3 linked regions of the Coturnix japonica genome follow. The protein of the gene in region 1 interacts with the protein of each later gene in a pairwise test. Links are inferred from orthologs where the notes say so. Each region holds a gene or a part of one and is shown in the gene's direction. Other genes may lie near its edges.

The links.
Region 2: the proteins of MAPK9 (region 1) and LNX2 interact in binary tests that used the Homo sapiens proteins (3 or more experiments, as listed by UniProt). The link is inferred for Coturnix japonica from reciprocal best matches to the Homo sapiens genes MAPK9 and LNX2.
Region 3: the proteins of MAPK9 (region 1) and SHMT1 interact in binary tests that used the Homo sapiens proteins (3 or more experiments, as listed by UniProt). The two-hybrid records come from large-scale screens. The link is inferred for Coturnix japonica from reciprocal best matches to the Homo sapiens genes MAPK9 and SHMT1.

What each region holds. Positions count from the first base shown.
Region 1 is NC_029528.1:4,141,974-4,149,365, reverse strand, and holds part of MAPK9 (mitogen-activated protein kinase 9), read left to right. Parts: coding exon 1-130; intron 131-1,096; coding exon 1,097-1,168; intron 1,169-1,416; coding exon of another isoform or gene 1,417-1,488; intron 1,489-5,008; coding exon 5,009-5,191; intron 5,192-6,079; coding exon 6,080-6,204; intron 6,205-6,695; coding exon 6,696-6,759; intron 6,760-7,231; coding exon 7,232-7,303; intron 7,304-7,392. UniProt on the Homo sapiens protein: Serine/threonine-protein kinase involved in various processes such as cell proliferation, differentiation, migration, transformation and programmed cell death.
Region 2 is NC_029516.1:157,556,406-157,564,593, forward strand, and holds the start of LNX2 (ligand of Numb protein X 2), read left to right. Parts: upstream 1-3,716; 5' UTR 3,717-3,839; intron 3,840-8,188. Other genes in the region: protein POLR1D, read right to left, coding at 3,370-3,395.
Region 3 is NC_029529.1:5,126,734-5,134,919, reverse strand, and holds the start of SHMT1 (serine hydroxymethyltransferase, cytosolic), read left to right. Parts: upstream 1-3,560; 5' UTR 3,561-3,658; intron 3,659-4,378; 5' UTR 4,379-4,401; coding exon 4,402-4,503; intron 4,504-4,929; coding exon 4,930-5,075; intron 5,076-5,430; coding exon 5,431-5,546; intron 5,547-5,636; coding exon 5,637-5,797; intron 5,798-5,909; coding exon 5,910-5,991; intron 5,992-6,282; coding exon 6,283-6,495; intron 6,496-6,685; coding exon 6,686-6,802; intron 6,803-7,055; coding exon 7,056-7,178; intron 7,179-7,323; coding exon 7,324-7,440; intron 7,441-7,599; coding exon 7,600-7,710; intron 7,711-7,900; coding exon 7,901-8,070; 3' UTR 8,071-8,186. Other genes in the region: chemokine-like receptor 1, read right to left, coding at 567-1,652. UniProt on the Homo sapiens protein: Interconversion of serine and glycine.

The sequences.
Region 1 (7,392 bases):
TGTACACTCAAAATCCTTGATTTTGGACTGGCAAGAACGGCGTGTACTAATTTTATGATGACTCCATATGTAGTAACACGATATTACAGAGCGCCAGAGGTTATCCTTGGAATGGGATATAAAGAGAATGGTAAGTTACTGGAGTGATGCTTTAAATTGTTTGTCTAAAGCATATGTGTCTCCAAACATAATAGCTTTAAAAGGCTGGGACAGAGCTAATTTCCCTCTGCTGTGTCTATTCTTAATGCTAATCACATTACTGGAGATTATTAAAACATAAAAATAAAATGCACAATAAGTATTTTGTGGAGAATAAGAGTTTTCTACCGTATCCATATCTCCATTTAGCATGTTCTGTTCCTGCTTCCCTGCTGTCTTACCTTTTCCTTTGTTGTCCTATTGCATTTTTCTTTATCCTACCTATATACCAATCTATGAGAAACCTATGCTGCATGATGTTTTAGAAAACCAACTAACCGATGATCAGTGTGTAAAATAATAAACCTTTTTATCATTGTGATTTTTACTGTGAAGCATACTCTAAGTCTGTCCCCCCAGTGTCTGTGATGACTTCATTAAAGATCTATTTCAGATTCTCCCATAAACCATGTAGTTTATTCCCCTAAATCTATATAAATAGCACTTAAAGAGGCTGGGTGTTGTACTATATTTACAAAGGCTTTATATATTGAACATTCAGCCAACAAAACTACTGGCAAGGAAACTGTCCTTGACCCACATTACTGTTTTACTTGCTGGTATTTACTGGCTGTGAAGTAACATTCTGCCTCCTCTGGTCTTCTAACCTAGTACATCTTTTCGGTTATTCACTGGGGCTTGGGGATACTTTAGCTGTGTGATACAAGGGACTTGCAGGACCTTGCTGAGCCACTGAAAAATGTACACTGATGCACGTGGCAGTTGTTCTACTGCAAGTGCTCACGTGGATGAGAACGTCTATGGAGGCAGTTCTGGATGGGACAAAAATACTTATCTGCACGACTATAGATAAAGAGTGTGAATTTACAAATTAATAATTGTTATACTTAAAAAACCTCTTTAATCTTTTGTCCTTGTTACACCTAACATATGATAGTGGATATCTGGTCTGTTGGGTGCATTATGGCAGAAATGGTCCTCCATAAAGTCCTGTTCCCAGGAAGAGATTGTATCCTTCTGCACGGTCGTTTCAGAAGTGTAAATGCTGATAATATTTTGCAAAGTGCTGAAAACAAAATGTAGCAACAGTTTAATTAGTTGGCGTTGAAATGATTGAAGATTCTTGTTAGCAGTTTGGTTTTCCACGTTGTTGTATTTTACCGTAGATGCTAGATGTCTTCATTTTGTTTGTTTGTTTGTTTTCCTCACTTTTGTTCATGATACTTCATAATTTGATCATTTCATTTTTACTTTCAGTTGATATCTGGTCAGTTGGTTGCATCATGGGAGAATTGGTGAAAGGTTGTGTGATATTCCAAGGCACTGATCGTATCCTTCCCTAGTCATCCTTGAACCACTTCCACCAGGAACATACTTTGATCTGTATAAAAGCTTAAAGCACTGTTCTCAACCATGTTTTAGTAGATCTGCTGTAAGCTATGGAATTAGTGTCATTGACCAAATTGTTGAGCTTCCTATTTTATTTTCTTAGCAGACTATATTTATTGTAATCTGTACTGATTGAATCTGTAGAATTTATACTAACAGCTTAAGCTTTTCTATCTTTAATAGAATGCTGGTAGGTTAAGGGAAAAAAAAACCCAAAGCATTACCTGTTTTTTCTTACTGTTGTTCTTAGTAGATAAGTATTAGAAGCAGAAATCTACTAAGTTAGCTTTTACTGTGCATGGGTTTGGCTTCCTATTTGGTTCAACTTATTTTTTAATGTACGAGTTTTTTCAGTTTCAACCAGGTTTTTTTCTCACTCGTTAGGATGCTGCTGTCCAATGAGTGCTAATTGCAAGTACACTGCATGAAATCTCTTTTTCTTACTATTATTATTTAATAGAAAAACAATTTCTTAAAATTTTTGTTATCATTTTATGAAAACTTTATTTTGGACTTACTTTTTCTATAAGATTATCCTTCTTTCCCTTTTCCCTCCAGTATTTTTGACCCAAGTTCATCTTCACAGAGTTGTATTTTGTTACGTGATAGAAACTGTGAGCACCTTTCTGTATTAGAAGTAAAAATCTTTATGCCCTCGTGCCCTTAGACTTGGGAAATCTCAACAACGTATTACTGGATCAGAGAGGAGCATTTGCACTTTGTGAGGTGGATAGAAATGAACATTTAATCAAATACATATTCTTCAAATAATTGTATGTGTTTAAAAGAATTTCCTAGAAAAATGATTAAAAACTCATTATCAAGCTCCAGTTAAAGGAAAACTTGGGTTTAAACCAATTTCATCCTTTATAAAAAATAGTCTTGCATATTAGTAGTGTTCCAGGGCAAGATATTCCAAATTGGTCAGTAAGTAAATAGAATGCAGAAGATACAATTAAACTGGGCTGTAAGGCACCCAAAACCAAAGGACGTGTGGTCCAAGCTTTTGAAATAATACATTGTATAATATTTCTGCTTGTCAGCAAGGAGAAGCTGGGCCCACCACTTAGAATACCAAGTATGTGCTCCTATGATCTTTTCATAGCTATATGTCTTGTAGAGGCTATTTTAAATTCAAAGTTTCATGACACTAATTAATCTTCAGCAGTTGATCGTTTATCAGTTAGTTGCATAAATGATTGTTAAATAAGTCTGTTTTCTACCTTTCTTCCTTTCTATATTGTTTTACCTTTTAAAGCCTTCAGACCAACCTAACACAATTCTTCATATATGTTATGTGTCCTTCATCTGCATGTCAGCATGGGCTGTTTTGGTTTGTTCATGAAAAAGGAGGGAAATTTTGTTTGTACTCATATATGCAAGTTACCATTTGTAGCTCACTGGAGGTCGCTGAAGCTCCACCAGTCCATATTTCAAAGAGTCTGCCCCTCTATCTTATCAAAATGCATAACTGTGCTTAGGGTTTTTTCCTTCTGAGTCTTTCAGTTCCCTTTAATGTGTGATACTGACAGATAAGTCATGTTGGCTTATGCAGTTATCAGTTTGGTCTGGAATAATTGTCATTTTCTTCTAGCTGCAGCCACAAGTCTGTTTTGACTACAGGGGTTAAGGGGGATGGATGCTGCTACACACGGCCTTGGGATTTTCCGTTTTTTAATTAAGTTTTGATATGTCTTAGCGTTCTGGTATTTTGATCAGGGAACCAAGCCTAATGATGTGCCTGTGGTTGTCTTCAGGAGAAACTGCTCTCGGATCCAGTTGTTTGTACGTTGCTGTATGGTCAGCAGGGATTTCTTGGAGTGTTGCAACAGAGCCCTGCTTGGGCTGAGATGCTCTGCACCGTCAGGGTGGAGGATGGGCTGAACCTGCTCCTGGCCATAGCCTGAGCTGAGAAGCTGGCAGTTGCTGTTGAACTAGAGATGAAAAACGTAGAAAAAACACCCAGCGTAGATACTGGAGATGAAGTAATGGAAAGCCTAGAGGCACTAGAGAATGTTTTCAGTGCTCTTCTGTGCAGGAGGTAAAGGAAACTGCCTGACTGATGGAAAAAGCATGAGAGCATAGTCATGATTTCTTGGGAAAAGTCATGCTTTATTATTAATTGATTATAATAAGGACTCTGTTTTCAACATTTTCTCCCAGAGTCTCGCAAAGCAGACAGGCACTCTGCTATGGACTGAACGATTCTGGGTTACTTTTGAGATTGGGGTCATTAGTTGAACAGAAAGGGTAATTTTGTCTGCAGACTGCAAGGTTATTGGAGGGACGCTGCATGCTTTGCATCAGCATTAAGGTTTTCTCCTGATTGAGTTTCTGATTATGGACATTGCTTATTTCATATCCAACCTATGCTGGAGAAAATATTTTGTCAGGTTTTTTTCCCCACATTTTTATTACTGAAGTGAAATAGGTCCCCCACCTTCAAACCACCATAGAATGCCCTTGAATTTGGCTAGCTGCCACTCTAATCATCAACCCCTTCTTGAATCTGGATTGGTGGACTTCTTGCACAAATTACTTTTCCAACAAAATTTCCTGGCATGTGTCAAAACTTGCTTTGTATGTGCTCTGTTTCAGCATGAGAGTTAATAATACTGACTTCTTAATTCTTATTTTAATATTGTGTTTCCACTGGAATGTATTGAATAAGCAGATACTGTTTTCAATCTTTGCATCTGAAGTCTAAAGCTTTAGCAGGAAGGATATTTCTGGATGTATTTTTGGCATGCTAACAAAAGTAAGTGCTTCTTAAACTGTAGTGTGTGTTAACTACAATTCAAAGTGCAGTGGATGTGTCTTGTTAAGAAACTGGTGTAAGAATCAATAGTTTGAAAGAAAAGATTCTGAGTTCAGATACGTTTGGAAGGTTTGTGGTTAGACTGCTAGAACTGCACATTCCTCATCAGGAAAAATGGGAAGTGTTGAACTGAATAAACTTACTGTATTAGCATTGTTGATACTGTAGAAATATGTAAAAGAAATACCACGTTTTATGTATTCTTTTATGTATTCTTTTATGTATTTTTACATCTGGTACAGTTAGATGTACGTCAGGTCATTCACTAGCAGCCTTTGTGTTTCTTTCTTTTCTGTCCCCATAGTTGTTATGTTATGGGTGTAATTAAAGAACAAACCTTCGTTTCGACTCTTCCAAAGCCATGTTTTCAGAACTGGCCAGTAGGTACCAATTCACTGCAGATATTTAATCCTGATGAGTTGTGCACCATTTCTGGTCTGTCCCTATCCTACAAAACTGATATTTTAGATTTTTGCCAGCGTAGCTTTTTCCACAGCAGTTCTAGAATGTTGTTGATGTTAGATTGGAGTTCTTGTTTTATTATTAGTTCAGGCTTTCAGCTTTTCAGATTTCTGCAAGTGATGTTTTTGTGTAGCGCAGACTTCAAATTCTGCAGCTGATTTTCCTAAAGATGTGGTGCAGATATTGATCAATGGAATAAAGTAATTGAACAACTAGGAACGCCCTCAGCAGAATTTATGAAGAAATTACAGCCTACAGTGAGGAATTATGTAGAAAACAGGCCAAAATATCCAGGTATTAAATTTGAAGAGCTCTTCCCAGACTGGATATTTCCATCAGAATCTGACCGTGACAAGTTAAAAAGTAAGACAGATTTTTTTTTTCTTCTTCTGAAGGTGTTAATTTAAAATGTTTGCAATACATTTAATTAAACAAAACAACAACTAATTTAGAATATCTGTATTGCGGTGGGTGTTGACATAAGCTCCATACCTGCTGGTTTTTTTCACATATGACAGATTCTGATTTTTATTAATATTAGCTCAGAAATACGGAGATATTTCACTGTTCTCTTTAATTCACTTCATTTGAATGTCTTGAATAATGTTTGTGGCTGAAATGTTTCTGAAAGTAGCACTTGTTAGAGTTATTTATGTTTTTCTGGTTCATATGGGAATGTAATTCATGTCAGCTGCTTTAGATAAATGACCAAGAAGTTGAAAAAATCAGTTCTATGGGCAGACACGAGGTTTTATACAAAATAGGCTACAGCAACTTATTTTATTATACAGCATTTTTAGTTCAGACAAAAAAAAGAACTGCCAGTCAAATGGCGCTGCCATTTACTATGCACTTCAAAATGTGGCTTATGAGCAGTAGTTGATGACAAACTGTGACCTGTGCATCAGCGTAGCTGTTCAGAATTGAGATTGGTTTATGTCAGCTGCAGGGTTTATGTTTTGGATTACAGTAAAATAACATTGACATTAGAGGACTGTGACCTCCTTTTGAAAGAAATCTGCCGTCGCTGTGCCTGTCCTGGCAGTGCAGCCTAATGCTGCTGGGTACTGAGCGAGACGTGCAGCTCCAGTCCTACTCTGCTGACTTAAAAACAGTGCTCAGTGAGACCTATTTAACTCTGCGGGATTAGAAGTTAAGTATTCGCATGTCACCAACAAATGGAACTTGTTGGGAGGCACTGAAGCTCAAGAGATCTGTTTGTGTATGCTTTGTCAGATGTTTACTTTCTAGCCAGTCAAGCTAGAGATTTATTATCAAAAATGCTTGTAGTAGATCCAGACAAGAGAATTTCCGTTGATGAGGCCTTACGTCACCCTTATATTACTGTCTGGTATGATCCAGCTGAAGCAGAAGCTGTAAGTTTGCATTTAAAATAAATTTTAAGATATCAGTTCAACAGTTTTAAGAATAACTTTAGTTTGGATCCAAGTGCGTGCTTTGAACTCGTGTTTTGGTTAGTGAGATGCACGTAAGCATTCAGGTTCATGTTTGAGGTGGAACCACCTGAAGAACTGTCGGTGGAGTGGAATTGATGCTGTTTTGAAAGTGATTATTGGTAGCTCCCTTTGTGGAAAGTGTTGCCTGCAGGGTGGTGATGTTCTTTATTTTGGGTAGTGGGCTTCATCTGAGGCCCTGCCAGACCTTACAAATGTTCATTTTCAGTTGATGCTTTTAAGCAGCATTTTGGTGGGAGGTAGAATCTAAAGCCTGGAGATGTGAAATGAATGTAAATTGGAGATGTAGGGAATAGACTGCCAGAGGGAGGTAACAATTGGCTGAGAAAGCCACCATTTTTAGTTTTGCCTGCAACATAATAGGTAACGTGTAGACTTAATTTTCTTTGTAGCCTCCACCTCAAATTTATGATGCACAGCTGGAAGAGAGAGAACATGCAATTGAAGAATGGAAAGGTAAAAAGGGAGCATGAGCAATGACGTAACTTGTACTGTGAGCTGTGTGTTCCTGTTGCGCGTGTGCTGGATTGTGTAACTGACTGGATCTTATTCAAAATGTGCAATACTGCTTATGGTGATGTGAAAATAAATTGATAATGGAAAAATGTGCTATTTGGAGGAAATATTCATGCATGTATGTATGATCCGCTGTAGTAAATCCTTTCCTCTAGAAGAGTTGAGGGTGAGCCATCCTGCTTGTACCATACCATCGAGATCTGAAACAAGTAATGGAGCTTTGTTACATTTAGAAGTCTGTGATATTTTATTCAGGTGCTGTGTCCTAAATCTGTCCTGACCCATATAGTGGTACTTACAGATGGACCTGTCACTATTTAATTGTACCATTACACATTTATAAATAGTGCTTAAATCCCTTGTGATCTTAATGTTTTTTCTGTCTCTTCTCTTATTCCTCCTACCTTATAAGAATTAATATACAAAGAAGTAATGGATTGGGAAGAAAGAAGCAAGAATGGTGTGGTAAAAGATCAGCCCTCAGGTTAGTCATCGTTTCAGTAGTTCTATGTTATGCTGCTTAGAGTGATCTGTTGGACTAAAAGGAATGAAAAAAGTCCTACTCAGTACAGG
Region 2 (8,188 bases), on another chromosome or scaffold:
TCCCTCTGACCCTGCTCCGACTCCCAGGTACTGCACTCACAGGCCCACAGAACAGAGCCCTCACGCAGGAAAGAGCTGGAAAGGAATTTCAGGCAGGACAGACCATGCATGGCCAGACACATGTAACTGCCAGCAGCCTGTTCGCAGGTGACCACTCCTTTTTATTCCCTTACTCATTTATTTTTCCCTTCCTAAATCACCTACATCAACCCCTTTCCCTGCCTTTGGTTTCCCCCTAAACATCCCATAATAAGCCTTGAGCAACCTTGAAATGCTCCTCCTCAGCATCTCACATGTCCCATATCCCAGGCAGCAACATCCTTCAGTCCCAAAGGTGCTGCAGCACTGAGTCACTGCAATAGATGGAGGTGCTCATCCCTCCTGTCCTGGCCTTGGGCTTCTGGTGCCCTGTGGGTTGGTGGCACCAGGGATGGGGGAGCTGGAATAAGGTGGTGTGTAGGGCCTCCTGCTGCCCTTATACCTCCACAAGCACAAAAGTTCACTAACACTGCCACTGCCATTCATGTAATCATCTTATTATTCAAGACCTCAAAGAACTGCAATGGTAAAGTACTTACTGCAATCAGGATGCCAGAAAAGAAGCCTAAGCCAGAACACTCAGAGCAAGGATAAATTAAGGCACAAATACACCCCAAAGTTCTCAATGTGGAGCATCTTTGCCTTTGAACATACATGGGGCATGCTGACACAACCATCTTTCGTAGATCAAGATTGTAGCTTGTTTAAATATTCCATTTGTCAGTCTCATAAGTGCTATTTTCAGAACATTTCCACGCTGATATTCTCAACAGTGAAGATACCACTTAATCTAATCTGAAACAATATCAGCTTGCAGACCAATTTTTGCCATAGGAGATAGGGAAAAAATGGGAAATAATGACCTAATTACGACATTTCTATTTTTACTGTTAAAAACAATAGCAAGAAATGTCAATTAATTTTACCAAGGTGCAAAGCTTACTTGTTAAGGAGTGTAATTAGGACATCTGTGCAGCAAGATGGCTATGAATTCTCAACTCAACAAGAGGCTTCTTGTTACTAAACCCAGTAATGGTCTTGGAATTTAGAACAGTATCCCCTTTAGGAAACACTTACTACCGAGATGATGCTCCAAGAAGGCTTGGTAGGCAATTCTAATAAGATTCTGAAATATTTATAGCTAATGAGAGGCAGATCTGACTATAGAACAGTTTTGATACATGGTAATATAAAATCTCTTCCTTTACACTGTCAGAGAAACCTCATTTTTTTTTTCTCCCTGTGCTTCCAACAAAGACACAAAGCACAGAGACCATTTAGAAGGGGAGGTGGGGGAGGAAGAGATGGGGATATGCAGTAGAAATTAAGTAGCAAAAGCAAGTACACATGCTTATAGCAGAAACAACCAGCCTCTGGTAGCTGATCCATAAGGTTTATAGTAGTGACTATTGGGTATACCTTAACATCATCATTATACACTAACAGGATTAATCCCAGAATTTCCTTAGGATCACAAGATATTTCTGGCTTACAGTCTGGATCTGCACTGACATACCAGAGGAAAAAACACCAGCTTATGCTTCCAACAAAGGTTATTGGGTGAAATGGGAAATAACTCAGTAAAATGCAGTGAACAGTAATATTTCACTGATTTTAAGACTACTCCTTATTTTTTAAATCCATACTATGCAAGAGTTGCACTGTAACCTGCAGGTGAGCATTCCCCTTCTACAGAGACTCCTATGAAGTGAAGAAAGCATCAGATGCAAGATGAAGCATGAGTCAGACATGGAAAAACAAGGCAAGCTGGATGAAGACTCTTCCTAAACAACTATAGATAAGTAGCTTCTCTTAGCAGATCCCAGTCTGGAATGTTAAGAAACAAAACTTACTTCAGACCTGAAAAAACACATACAAAAATAGTTATAGTTCCCACAGTACCTCTGGACAGCCTGTGCCAGTGACGTGCCACTCCCTAAGTAAAGAATTTCCTCCTAATATCTGACCTAAGACTTCTCTCTTCTAGTTTAAAACCGCTCCCCATTTTCCTACTACTACCTGTGTAAAACTTTTAGTCTCCCTCCTGCTTATAAGCTCCCTTTAAGAAGTGGAAACACAAAGCACTGGCTGCAAGCAAAAAGTGCTTAGGTTTGGAGTGGCACTAACAAAAAGAGCATTTGTGTCTATATAGAAAGAAGCTTTAATAATTAAACTGATGATCTGAGTGAGGAAGTGCCCTACCAAGAATTAAGGCTTCTTGGAAAGCATTACATTCTCTATCCCCCCCACCACCCCAGTGGCATCATACGTATCTCATTTCAAAGATGTGGTAGATCTAAGCTGAAAGAAGTGACTTAACAGAGAATCACTTCCACTAGAAGGGATCCCTTAAGGTCACCTGCTCCAACCCACTGAAATGAACAGGGATATCTAGAGCTAGATCAGAGCCCTGTCAAGCCTGGCCTTGAGAGCTTCCAGGGACAGAGCATCCACCACCTCCCAGGGTAACCTGTGCCAGTGCCTCACCACAATGATTGTAAAGGAACTTCTTCCTTACATCCAATCTATGTCTCCACTCTCTTGCTTTGAAACCATATCCCCCTGTCCTACTGCAACAGACTCTGTTAAAGCATCTGTCCCCTTCTTTCTTATAGACCCCCTTCACATACTGAAAGGCCATTCTCAGGTCATCCTGGAGCCTTCTCTTCTCCAGGCTGAACAGCCCCAGCTCTCTCAGCCTGTCCTTGTAGGAAGGCATTCCATCCCCTGGGTCATTCTGTGGCCCTCCTCTGGATGTGCTCCAACAGCTCCATGTCTCTCCAGTACTTCAGGTGAGACCTCACCAGCACAGAGCAGAGGGGCAGGATCACTCCCTTGGCCAGCTGGCCATGTTGCTTTGGATGCAGCACAGGTTGGCCTTCTAGATTGCCAGGGCACATTGCTGCTCATGTTTAGCCTGTGATCCAGCAGTACCCCCAGGTCCTTTTTAGCAGGCCTTCCCATCAGCACTCTCAAACACATTTCTTAAAAGTTATGAGACGGAACCATGAGATTCTCAGCCATCACTTCGCTGTAACAGTTCCATGCAGCTGCTTGCAAAAAGTTCAGCCTCTACGCGTTAACCAAATAACTTTAACCACCCATTTATACGACTTTTAAATCTCTCGCGTATAAATGACATTACAAGAGCGGTCCGCATTACGCAGAGATGCGTAGCAATGGGCTGAGGGCTCAGGGCCGAGCACAGGCCGCACAAGCCAGGCCCTACAGGCCGGGAGCCGACACAGGACCAGCCCCAAGGCCTCACTGGCCCTACAAGCGCAGCCCAGAGCGAAGGAGAACCCGCAGCACAGTACGGCCGCCCCTCACCTCTCCAACTCCAGATCCTCCTCCATGGCAGACTACAGCCCGGCTCCTCACGCTGACACAGACGCCATAGCCGCTCTCAGCCCAGCTCCTCGAGGCGGAGCGAGCAGGCGCAGCTCCGGATCCGGCGGGGAGGGGGCGGTGCCGGGCGGGGCGGGGATGGAGCCCTGGCGGCAGCGCTGCCCACCCCGCCCCGCCCCGCCCCGCCCCGCCCCGGGTTGCGCTCCGTAGGGCGGAGGGTCCCTCCCGGCCCGGGGCTGCGGTGCGTCCCGCCTCGGCCGCTCCGCCATAGGCTGAGCCGGCCCCGCGCCCGGCCCCGCGCCCCGGGGCTGCCGCCGGAGTGGCGGAGCGCGGCGTCACTTACGCTGCCCCGGGGGAGGCGGGGAGCGGGGCCGGGCGGTGGGGAGGGAGGCGCCGCGCCGAGTGGCCGCCCGGAGTTCGGCTGCCGCCGTGAGGAGCCGGGTGCCGCCGTGGTAAGTCCGTGCCCCGCAACGCGCTCGGTCCCCTGGGGGCGGCCCGGCCCCTCGTTGCGCTCCGCGGGGCGGGGGCCTCCCCCGGGACAGGGCCGGGCCTGCGGCGGGGCCTGCGGGGCCGCAACAAGTGCGGGAGGGGGAGAGCAGCGCCGGGCCGCTTCGGGGAGTTGTGCTGGAGCCGTGACTCCGGAGTCGCGTTACCGCTGCCTGGGGAGGGCGGAGGGCAGGGAGAGTTGTGGGCAGCGCCGGAGCGCACACATCGATGCCAGGCTGCTCTTTTCTCTCCCCTCTCGTTTAAACCGAAGGTGCGGTTGGAAAACTTGCAGTGCGGCGCCTTGTGAACTTTCCCGAGGCGTGCCGTGTTACTGCTCCTCGCTGTGTGTTGGTGCTCAGCCGAGCGGGTAGGGAGTGCTATGGCACTGACAGGCTGCTCGGCCCCATGGGGCTCCTGTGACCACGCTCCCGGTGCGGGGCGTTGGTTGTTTCCTGCTGTAGGAATCCACCATTAAGTACGCCCGAGCTTCGTTTAATTCCTATTTTAATTACGTGATCTCGTTGCTCTCTGTGTGCGACGGGAAAATGACACGGATCGGCTTTGGGTCGTGTTTGATGCTCTCTGGAAATGCACTCCTGCTCGTAAACGCATCAGAGCTTTTGCTCAGCAGAGACCCAGATCCGAGCTGGGCCCCCGTTAAAGTAAATGAGTGATTTCTGTGTGTCTGCAAACCATTGTCTTCCTTTGGGCTCCACGAAGCTTTGCTGTAAGCTTCAATCCCACCGCAGATCAGGGAGCTTAGGGGGAGCATCAGATGGCTCCGGTTAGCGGCTGTGCACTTGGGAGCAAACACGGCGGTGCCATATGCTGCCGTGACTTCATTACCATCCCTCCAGAGACAAGGTTTGTGAGCACACCTTTGGGAACAACAAAACCGACTGGGACCTTCTTGCATTGACTTCTAAAGTGAGGAATCCCCTCTTTCCTGAAGCCAGTTCTATATGGTTGACTCCAAATGCAGGGAATTGTAAGGATTGCAGTTGTGCTCAACTAAGGTTTTGTTGGCTTTTGAAGTTCTTTATATTAAAGAAAAATATCATGCTTTTAAGTGCTTGTATTATTGAAATTCTAAAATCTTGGAATAAGTGCCTATAAAATGCACATTTTTTTCTTTAATGAGAGCTTTCTATAATGAACTTGTAACTGTCCTGGCTTCTAGTTCTGGTCTGTGACTTCAGCAAGAGATAATCCAGGGCCTTGGACTTGGGTCTACAATGGTTAAATCAACATTATTGCCTAAGGCAGGCTTACATCTTTCATTAACCAAAGCATCATTTAATATTAAGCTGCAGCTTAACAGTGGACTTTGCAAGAGAAATGCCCGCAGCTTCCTGGGTGAAAAGTTCTGCTCTCTTGAGACAGTGAGGTTCATTTAAAAATGAAGCCTATGAAAACCTATTACGCATAAATGCTGGCTTTGATACTGCTGGTTTTTGTGTACATTGGGCATTTGCTCTCACAGGAGCCTTGGTGACCTCAGTAAAACCTGGCATTGCCATGAGCCTTTACCCGCACTGCGTGGCCTCTGAGCCTCAAACTGGGGGTCTGTTTGTGCGCTTGTCTCACTGAAAGCAGTAGAGGTTTGTTGGCTTCCAGCTATAACACTGGAAAATATCCCCCCTCTTTTTAAAATCTCACTTTTTCCTGTGCTCTTAAAATGAATGGCTTGATGTAGCTGAAAGCTACTGTTAAGGAGATGTGGTAACCAGTGATATCACTTTAAAAGTGAAGTGTTTAAGCGTATGATATATATTAGATATTGGATTAATACAAATTGGTGTCATAAATCAGCCCGATGCTGCTTGCTTAAAAAGCCGTGAGATATTATGGTCTGCAATGGGTAAGAAAGCAGCACTCGTGCTGTGCTAAGATGCTCCCTGGTGTAAGAGGCGCCTGGTGACTGATCAGATGCAGCTGTGGCCTGTCTCCGGGACTGGAAAATTCTCAGTTGGTTTGGTCTGCAGAAACAACTTAACATGGCACCGTCAAGTCTTGTGGTTCTTAATTGTTTTATTAGGTCAGTGGCGTTTGCTGAGGAGCTGCAGGGCATGTTGCAGATGAAAATTCTTGTAAATATCATGAATGATGTACTTGCTACACTGTGGTATCCACAGAGCAATAAAAACCCATCAAATTGTGGTGTGTGCTTTTTTCTGTCCCCAATTCTACAGATCTGTGTACTTACATATGTTTAATTCTAAGCATCCAAGTATTTCTTTTGGAATTAGTGGGCCTGTTCTTAGGCTTAGCGCTAAGCCTGCATGTAAACGTTTTCAGGGTCAGGATTTATATTCACAAAGTTCATAGGCTAAACCTGTCATGTGTTTTCATACTGACCGCGCTCTCTTTTGCATGTAACAGTACAAGTGGCTGTTGGCTCCTGGCTTGGCAACGAGAGATGCTGCCTGCTCTGTGGGTGCAGGTTGGGCTGGACCAGGATGCTCTGATGTGCTGCCAGCAGCTGCTGTGTCCATCAGGTTGTTGTGGTGGCGCAGGCTTGCCTGGATGTCTGCCCCTTTTGATCTCTAAGCTCTATGTTTTAATCAGCCCATCCCTTAGTGGTGGTCAAGGCCAGGTTGGATGAGGCCCTGGGAGTGAGGAGTAAGCTGTTCCTTTCTTATTACTAGCTTGTAGGTAGGATCTTTCTTGGGTTATCCTAAAACTAGTCAGAGGTGGCTGTGTACCTCTATTTCAGTGCAACTCTAAGATCAAATAATCTGCGAAAAGAGAAGGTTCTAAGTTACATTTTCTTATTCTGCGAGTCCCCCACCCAATTCACAGTGTTTTGGTGGTTGTTGTTGTTTTTAATGGTTCCTTGTGGTAACTCAGCTCAGTATTTGCCTTTTCCTTTTTGTTTGAAGGAAGCAAGCAGTGATGTTGTTTTGGATTCCCAGTATTTTGTTAAGAATCTCTGGACAATGTCATTACAGTAAAGCAAACCAAATCAGTCAATGAAGCAACTGAGAGGTTATAAATTTGTTGGATATTTTTTATAGGGCAGTGAGGTTCTGGCGCAGGTTGCCTTGTCCCTAGAGGCATTCAAGGTCAGGCTGGATGGGACTCAGCATCTGATTGAGCTGTAGGTTTCCCTGCTTTGTTACAGAGGGGTTGGACTAGATGATCTTTAAAGGTCCCTTCCAACTCAAATAATTCTGTGATCCTTTGAATATTATGTTCTAAGCTAATGTTTGCCTGCTAGTCTGTGGAAAGGTGGAGTTGCTTTGCTTTGGGTTGGGTGGTGGGTGTTGCATTTGCCTGGCAGTTTTCCCTTCATTCCACAGTAAAGAGTGTCTTCATATTTCCTTGCAGGTTCTCTAATGCTTAACTACTTTTCAGTGTTGTTTGTTCAATAAGGACCAGCATGTGGTGAGCTGTTCTGATGCAACACTTCAAAACCCAAATGTGCCATGAGTTTTCTGGTAGGCATTTTGGGGGGAGGCGTGGGGAGATTGGCTGGCTGCTATCAGTGAGCCTTCTTAGTCAATGCATTTAGCTTGTCACAATGTGAGTGTGCTTCTGTCTGGGTACCTTGTTTTACTGACACAGGAAATGAGCTGCGTCAGCAGATGTTCTCTGTGTCTGTGTAATAGACCTATACTGAGTTTTCCGCTGGCATAGCGATGTTATCAGGATCGTTCCCCTGACATTGCCACCTGCTGCACATGCAAAACCAAAGCAAAACTAAGAATCCCCCCCATGCTCTGATGCTGATCACATTTCAATTCCAACACAAGTAGCTCCTCATATGGTCTATGTTTATGGATTTGATTTAAGATGCCTTTACACATTTGGAGGCTCCAAGTTATAAGGGAAAAGAAAAAAACAACTGTAATCTATGCTACCTCATTCAGGGGATGCCTAATTGCTGTTTCACTTATCAATGGTCCGTCCTCTAATGCGTTTTTGTTCTTACTCCCCTTCTCCACATCATCATTTTCTCCTGTTGTAGTTCTTTTGTTGGGTTTAAAACTTGTTTGTAACCAGACTGAAGTAACTGTAAGTGAAAGCTGATGCATCGCCAGACCACATAGATCCTAATTTCTTCCAGAGGCTTTCTGGTCTTTTTAAGAGCTTACTGTGAACTCCCTTATGTTCATACAGCTTTAATCGCACCCTTCATCCAGCACGAAGCTGTCCATATTTTTAATTGAAAGAAGGTTTTTTTTTTTTTTCTCTTTTAAAGCTTTTAAACACTTTTAAAGTCAGCTATCTTTTGAGAACAGGTTGACTGGGACTGCATGCTGTGCAGCCTCTTTCTTGTCTTTATTACTTGTCTGTTCCGGAGGAGATCTCT
Region 3 (8,186 bases), on another chromosome or scaffold:
TGTAATTTAATCATTTCCTACTTAAAATTTAGCAGCAGACTGGCATGATGCGCAGGAAAAGATGTATTTTCTTTGCTGATTTAATTATAAGGAATTTATGGAGCAGCTCTTCCCTCCATCCTCTTGCTCAGCTAAAGCACAGACTGTGCACACTGCCAGCACACCTGCATCCAATTTTGCCCCCTGGTGGAACCCCACAATTTTTGCATCCCAGCAAAGCCTGGCTGCCAGGAAAGCCTGGCAAATGCAGAGAACAACACATCCTCGCAGCAGCTAACTTGCCATTCAGGAATGGCCTGGGGATGAACCCAGTAGCGATGCAGAGTCGGGTACCTACAAGGTGACCCCACTGAACTCAGAGGCTGCTTCTCATGGCTGAAGGATGCCGGAGAGAAGGGAAAATAAAGGGAGCCCTGTCAGTAAAGTCACAGACTTAGTGACCTTTACAAAGGGTCGTCTACTAAAAATGGGATGTTGTGACAAATCAGGAAAGAAAGAAAGGAGAGGAGGAGAAAACTGCCCTGCAGTGGTGCCCATACTGAACCCACCCAGTACTGAGTGGGTACTCAGAGCCTTGGGACTTCTGCTTCCGAGGCAGACCTGGACTTCCTCCTGCTGCTCAGGCTGCCCAGCATTGACTCCTCACTGAAGGCCCCTTTGAAGGCCGACAGGATGGACTGGCAAAACTTCTCCTTGAAATCTGGCCCCACAAAGACGTACAGGATGGGGTTTATGCAGCTGTTGAAGAAAGCGAGGCTGGAAACCAAGGGGATTCCTATGTAAAGGGCCATTTTCATCTCATGACTGGAAGAGTTTTGAGATATTTCTAGCAAGGAGAAGACATGGTAGGGGAAATAACAGAGGAAGAATGAGACTGTGACGGCAATGATAATTCTGTACGGCTTCACAGAGCTGGCCAGCTGCCTTCTTTTCAGCTTGACGGCAACAACGCTGTAGCAGATGAGAATCACTGTGAAGGGGATGAGGAACCCACATAAGAACCGTGTTATGATCATCGCTTTGTGCCGCATCCTCCACAGCCTCCGTGTCTCCTCGGCCGTGTAGTCATCAGACAGCGCAAAGTTGTTATAGCAGCTGGTGATGTTACGGGAACTGACCGCGGTGTCACGAAAAATGAGGTACGGGGAGCTGAGCAGGACGGCCATGCCCCACGTCCCCAGAGCGACCCTGGCTGCCAGCTCTGGGCTCCTGCGGTTGTGGGACCACACGGGGAAGGCCACGGCCACGCAGCGATCCACGCTGATGACCATCAGGAGGAAGACGCTGGCGAACATGTTGAGGAAGGCGATGGTGCTGTTCAACTTGCACAGCAGCTTCCCAAAGGGCCAGTGGAAATCCAGAGCGGTGTAAGCGATGCTGAGGGGCAGGAAAAAGGTGAAGATGAAGTCAGCGATGGCCAGGTTGAGGAACCACACTGAGTTCACTGTCTTCTTCATCTTGAAGCCTGCAATCCAGATGACGAGGCCGTTCCCCGTCACCCCCAGCACACAGGCAATGCTGTACACCACCATGGAGAGGATGTGCAGGCTCTTCTGGAGGCCAGAGTAGTGGTCGTAGGCTGTGGCATTCCCAGAGGGCATGGAGGGGGAGCTGTCAGGGAAGGGTGATGGGGAAGAAGAGACGCTCTCCATTGCCAGCAAGCTGGGCTCCTGAAACCATAACAGCACACACTGCGATTATCTGCAGCTCCCAGAGCTCTGGGGAGAACCTTTGATTGTGACTGTACACAAAATGGATATGCAATGATGAAATAAGTACTAAGAGTGACTCAATAATGAACACACTTCTCTATAGAACATCTAAAGTTTCAGAATGGCAGATAAATACTTGTGAGGCACGAGGAATTCAAGCTATTTGAGCAAGATCCGAGTGAGCCAACACAGAGGGAGGGGGACAGTCTGAAAGTTTTGAGTTGATCTGATCTTTGAGTTGATCTGATCTTTGAGTTGATCTGATCTTGTCGTGAAAGGATGATGGCAGCAGGAAGGGGACACGTGAGCAGAGGATCAGCCACCACGGGGACAACTCAGTCCCAGTGCTGCAGGCTTTAACAGGGACCTGCCAAGACTGAAACAAATTACTCATCTCTTGGGAAGTCCCTGGATGCCCACAGAGATTGTCACCCGCACTGACAGGCAGCCCGCTGACACTGAGAAGCAGAAAATAAATGATATCAAAGATGGTTTTGCTTGCAGCTCTTTCCACACCAGCGGGCCCACGGGGCTGTGGGCAGAGGGTTGGCATCTGCCCTGTCTCCCTGTCACCCTGTGACCCGAGACAGCAGCCCAGGCTCTGCCGATGGCATTGGCAGTGTCAGAACAACTCATCTGTGAGCAGCCTGTGACAGCAGCCAGCCCTGGGCTGAGAGCAGGACTCCAAAGAGCCAAACTGCACAGCTGTGGCCAAACTATTTAGTGATGGAAGGCAAATCAACAGAGCTAAAAACTGAATTATCAAGTTAAAAGATGGCTCCTTCAACAGCTATCACAGTATCATAGAATTATTAAGGTTGGAAAAGATCTCTCAAGATCAAGGCCAACCCCAGCCCAACCCCACCGTGCCCACTGACCACATCCCTCAGTGCCACATCTCCACAGCCCTGGAACACCTCCAGGGACAGTGACCCCATCACTCCCTGGGCAGCTTTTGGATCAGGAATTGTTCCTAGCATCCACCCTGAACCTCTCCTAATGCAACTTAAAGCCATTACCTTCTGTCCTACCACTGTTACCTGGGAGAAAAGCACTAAGGACACATACACCCCAGGCAGAGCAGCATCCGAGGTGGGGAGTTGTGGTGCAGCAGCCACCCCTGTACCCACACACCAACCCCTCAGCACCAGGACCCGGCCGCACTCACCGCAGCACTGCTCCGCTCCAGCCCCACACACTGCAGAGCCCCACTGCTCTGAGAGCTGCTCCTCACCGCTGTGACTCACGGAGCACGCTCTGCTTTTCCATCACTTGGGATCACAAGGAATTTACTGGGACTGATGATTCCCTAACTCTGTTCCTCAATTTGCAGCACTCTGATTTAACCCCTGAAGCTCTGACCGTGGTCTCTTGGGTCAGGCCAACCAAACCCAAGTTCGTGTTTGTGTGTGAAGCACACAGTGCTGCTGCCTGCAAGCCTCATCCTTCCGAGGCTGAAACATTCCTCCAGGTACCAGGACACCCCGCAGAGCAGCAGGGCTCCCACACCGTACCACGCACAGCTCACCCGCTGTGCTCAGCGCATCGCCCCGCCAGCAGGGATGGAGAACTGCCATGGCCGGCAGGAAGGCTCAGGGGATGTCGGCTGGGGAGGGGGGCTGGGGTTAGGGTTAGGGTTGGGGTTAGGGTTGGGGTTAGGGTTAGGGTTAGGGTTAGGGTTGGGGTTGGTGTTAGGGTGCCCGGCGCAGCCCCCCTGGCCGGCCAAGGTCATCCCGGTGCCGGCAGCGCTGCCCGCCCCGCCTGAGCGCGGGTCATGGGGAGCGGGACGAGGCGGAGCGCGCCGCGGATTGGACCAAGAGTTGTCGCGGAGTTCAATGTTCGGGCGCTGATTGGTTGAGAGTCGGAGGGGTGTGACGCGGCAGCCTATTGTAGGAGCGCGGGCTGCCGCGGGGCGGCTGAGCGGGCCGGGACCGGGATCCGAATCGGTGCGGAGCGATGCGGGGCGGGCAGGGGGAGAGTGAGTGGGAGCGGGGCGGTACCGGGTCCTGGGTATGGGATGCGATGGGGCCATGTGGGACACAGCGGGTGAAGCTCCAGGGCCGTGCCCCCGCTCACGTCCCACCAGGAGGGTGGCAGTGGGGCTCTCCGTGGCAGCTTTGTGCTCTGCAGCCCTTTGCCAGCAGTGTGCATTCGCACAGCACCCCTCACAACGCTCCTTCGGTTCAGCACGCATATCCCACAGCGTTTCCCCGCTGCCAGTGAAGCCCCGGGACAGCCGGGCCTTTGAGCACAGCGGGGGCCGCGTTGCTGAACGGAGCGGATTGCTTAACAACCAGCTCACGGCCCCTCTGCGGCCTTGCGGGGTTAATGGATAAAAAGACACTTTGTGTGCAGCCAGGGCTGGAGCTGGGCTGCCCTGACTGCTCAGGAGTTTGTGTGCTGTTTGGCAATGCTTGGTGCTGAGGGGCTGCTGCTGCCTTGGGCTTAGAGCAAGATCAGGTCTAAAGCCTGAGTGCAATGAAATGGTACTGCTGGAGTTTGGCATGTGTGCTTATGGGCTCCCCACTTCCCCAAGTGTAAGGATGAGGGAGGGGTAGAGGGAAGCCACACACCTCGGTTGTGTGATATCCAGGCTGGAGGAGAACAGGAGGGCACTGGAAATGGCCATGTTGCTGCAATAAACACCCTCCCTGTGCCTTTTGCAGGTGGCAGCAGAGGCAGCGGACAGATGGCGAACATGGCACAGGGTGCTGGGAGCCTCCCCAGCGCAGAGCTCTGGGCCTCCCACAATAAGATGCTGCTGGAGCCACTCGACAGGAATGACCCTGAGGTGAGAGCTGTTGGGACACCAACCTCCTTGAACCAGGAGCACAGAGCAAGGCTAAAGCTGCTGGGATTCAGCCAGCCCTGGGCCTTGCAACCAACATGCACATGCTGTGGCTGTAATTTCTCAGCCGTTGCTCATAACTCTTTGCCTGGAGCTCTGACACCTGCACCAGGCCCAGAACTCTGCAGCCACAGTTCAGCCCAAGCAAGAGCTGAATTACCTGATGGCTTTGTGGTATCTACCACAGAAACTCAGGATGTGGCAGGACGTGTGATTAGCTGTACCAAGAAGGGGCCTCACCTCCCTTCTCCAGTGGCTTTCAGACTGCTCTCTGCCATCCTGACTCCTCTGAGAGTGCATCCCATGCCATGCAGCACCCACACCTCTGTGAAGAGCTGGCACAAGTGAAGCTATCTCTCCCTCCTCAAGGTGTACAACATCATCAAGAAGGAGAAGCAGCGGCAGAGGCTGGGGCTGGAGCTGATTGCATCAGAGAACTTTGCGAGCTGCGCAGTCCTGGAGGCGCTGGGATCCTGCTTGAACAATAAATACTCTGAGGGCTACCCTGGACAGAGGTACGGGGCTGGGGAGAGCCTGAGACACACACACTCTTGTAGGGAGGGGGCAGGGACCATCTGCATTGTCATGTTCACCTCAAGACCTCATCTCTGGGAAGGAAGCCATGTCCTGGTGCTGGCAACCAAGCTCCTGCAGGACAGGATCTGACCCTCTCAGCTTCTGTCCTTGGCCGTGCACCAGGTAATTGTAGCAGGGTCATGTCTGCTGCTTGCAAACAGCAGCATCCTGGTCTCACAGCTGGCACTGCCTTGGGTACACATTGCTAAATGAAGAGATTAGTTTTAACCTTGAGGTTTTGTTCTCAGCAGACACCAACCTCAATGTAACTCCTTCCCCATCCTTTACCTGCAGGTACTATGGCGGGACAGAGTTTGTAGATGAGCTGGAACGGCTGTGCCAGAAGCGAGCCCTGCAGGCATTCCGGCTTGACCCCCAGAAGTGGGGTGTCAACGTCCAGCCCTACTCAGGTAACGGCATCCCCAGGGGAGGCAGCACAGGCTGTGCTGGCCTCTGCATGCCCCAGCACCTCTGAACTGCCTCGTGTGCTCCTGCCACAGGGTCACCCGCTAACTTTGCGGTGTACACGGCCCTGGTGGAGCCCCACGGCAGAATCATGGGGCTGGACCTGCCTGACGGGGGCCATCTGACCCATGGGTTCATGACGGACAAGAAGAAGATCTCTGCAACCTCTGTATTCTTTGAGTCCATGCCCTACAAGGTATGGAAAGCTGCTCCAGTGAGAGCCAGGCCTTCATAAGTGAAAGAACCTCTTGACAGCAACTGATCTTCACCCCTGCCAAGGTGACTGAACCTTCCTCTTCCTCTCCCAGGTGAATCCCAAGACTGGTTACATTGACTATGACCAACTTGAGGAGAATGCCCGTCTGTTCCACCCCAAGCTGATTATAGCAGGTAAGGAACGACGCTTACACACCAGTTGGGATGGCATCCTGAAACCAGTGGGCAATTGCAGTGGGATGCTGCAGAATTATAGAACAGAATCACTGAACAACCCAAGCTGGAATGGACCCACAAGGATCACACAATCATTAAGGATAGAAAAGACCTCTGTTGTCAAGTCCACCACCTCCATGGGCAGCAGTGTCAGTGCCTGCCCACTCCTTCAGAGAAGAAAATGTTCCTGATATCCAAACAGAACCTCTCTGGCACAACTTGAGGCCATTCCCTCTTGTCCTATTGCAGGTGTCAGTTGCTACTCACGCAACTTGGACTATGCCCGCATGCGACAGATTGCCGACGCCAACAGCGCCTACCTGATGGCCGACATGGCCCATATCAGCGGGCTGGTGGCTGCTGGTGTTGTGCCCTCACCATTTGAACACTGCGACGTCGTCTCCACCACCACCCACAAGACCTTGAGGGGCTGCAGGGCCGGCATGATCTTCTATCGCAAAGGTGCCTGATCTGAGCCATGGAAGCACTCCATCCAGGCCAGGGGAGCTGCAGGTTAAAGCTCCTTCCTGCTCCTGCTGGGAAATAGGAAGGGCAGAAAGACTGGGGACATCCCAAAGGCTCAGATTTGAAGAACAAGCATAATTCCCTTCCTGAGCTGCCTTATATGTTACCCTGCTCTCTCCTCCCACAGGCACCCGCAGCACAGACCCCAAGACAGGGAAGGAAACACTCTACAACCTGGAGAGCCTCATCAACCAAGCGGTCTTTCCTGGGCTGCAGGGAGGGCCACACAACCATGCCATCGCAGGTATACACCTGCACTGGGCTGGGATGGTGAGGAGGGTACAAAGACATCCTGGCTCAGCTCTGAGCCCCAGTATCAGGGCAGAGTGCTCCAGCTGAGAGGTACAGCAGCAAAGAGCAGCCAATTTGATGCAGCTGAGGGAGAAATCAGGCTGTTCCTATGCATGATTAGGGGAAGGGACTGTCCATGAGGTTCCTTAGCTTTCAAGATAACTTTTGTTGGTCCTCAAAAGCTCACTGCTGTGCTTCATCCCCAGGGATCGCTGTGGCCCTGCAGCAGGCCATGACTCCCGAGTTCAAGGCTTACCAGCAGCAGGTGGTGGCCAACTGCAAGACACTGGCAGCAGCACTGATGGAGCTGGGCTATGATATTGTCACAGGTAAGGAGCAGCCTCAGCTGCCCGCGTTGGGGCCGGCTTCGTGTCCCAGGTCTGAGCCAACCACTGGGGCAACAGTCTTGAGCCTTCTAGTTTTTTTCTTTTGCTGATGTTTCAAGTGTTCACCTCAACTCCCCTCTCTCTGCAGGGGGCTCTGACAACCACCTCATCCTCCTGGACCTGCGCAGCAGAGGCACTGATGGAGGCCGGGCCGAGCGGGTGCTGGAACTCTGCTCCATCGCCTGCAACAAGAACACATGCCCTGGTAGGCATCCCACAGGCTCCATATCTTGCTCCATCTGCCTGGATGTCTCTTGTGCCCTGTGCTCCCCCAGGGCCATGAAGAGCTCACAGAACTCCCAGCCCCTGGGGTCCAGGCTATGTTTCCATGCAGTGAGGTCACACAGGGCTTGTTCTGTTGCAGGTGATGTCAGTGCCCTTCGTCCCAGTGGTCTGCGTTTCGGGACACCAGCTCTCACCTCCCGGGGCTTTCGACAGGACGATTTCCGCAAGGTGGCTCAGTACATCCACAAAGGTGAGGGTCCCATTTCCTCAAGCAGGTGGTGGTGGCACAGGGCAGTGAGTCCTTGTCAGCCCAGCTCCTCCTCTCCCAAGCGTCGTGGGGAGCAGCCCCAACCATGGCAGCCATGGCAGTGCTGAGAGAGCTGCTGGACGTGGCACCTGCCTGTTGATGGGGCTGAGCCACACATCTCCCACCCTGGCAGGCATTGAGCTGACGCTGCGTGTGCAGAAGGACATGAGCCCTAAGGCAACACTGAAGGAATTCAAGGAGAAACTAGAGGAGGAAAAATACCGGGGAGAGCTAAAGGCACTGAAGGAAGAGGTGGAGGCATTCGCAGCAACCTTCCCACTCCCCGGACTGCCAGTCCTGTAATGGGAGGCACTGTGCCCACTCTCAGAGCCAAGGAAGTACCAGGGACCATGGCACACTCATACCACTGGAATGAGCCCATTGCCCTGGTGCCTTCTCCCTGCATCTTCCTACTGGTG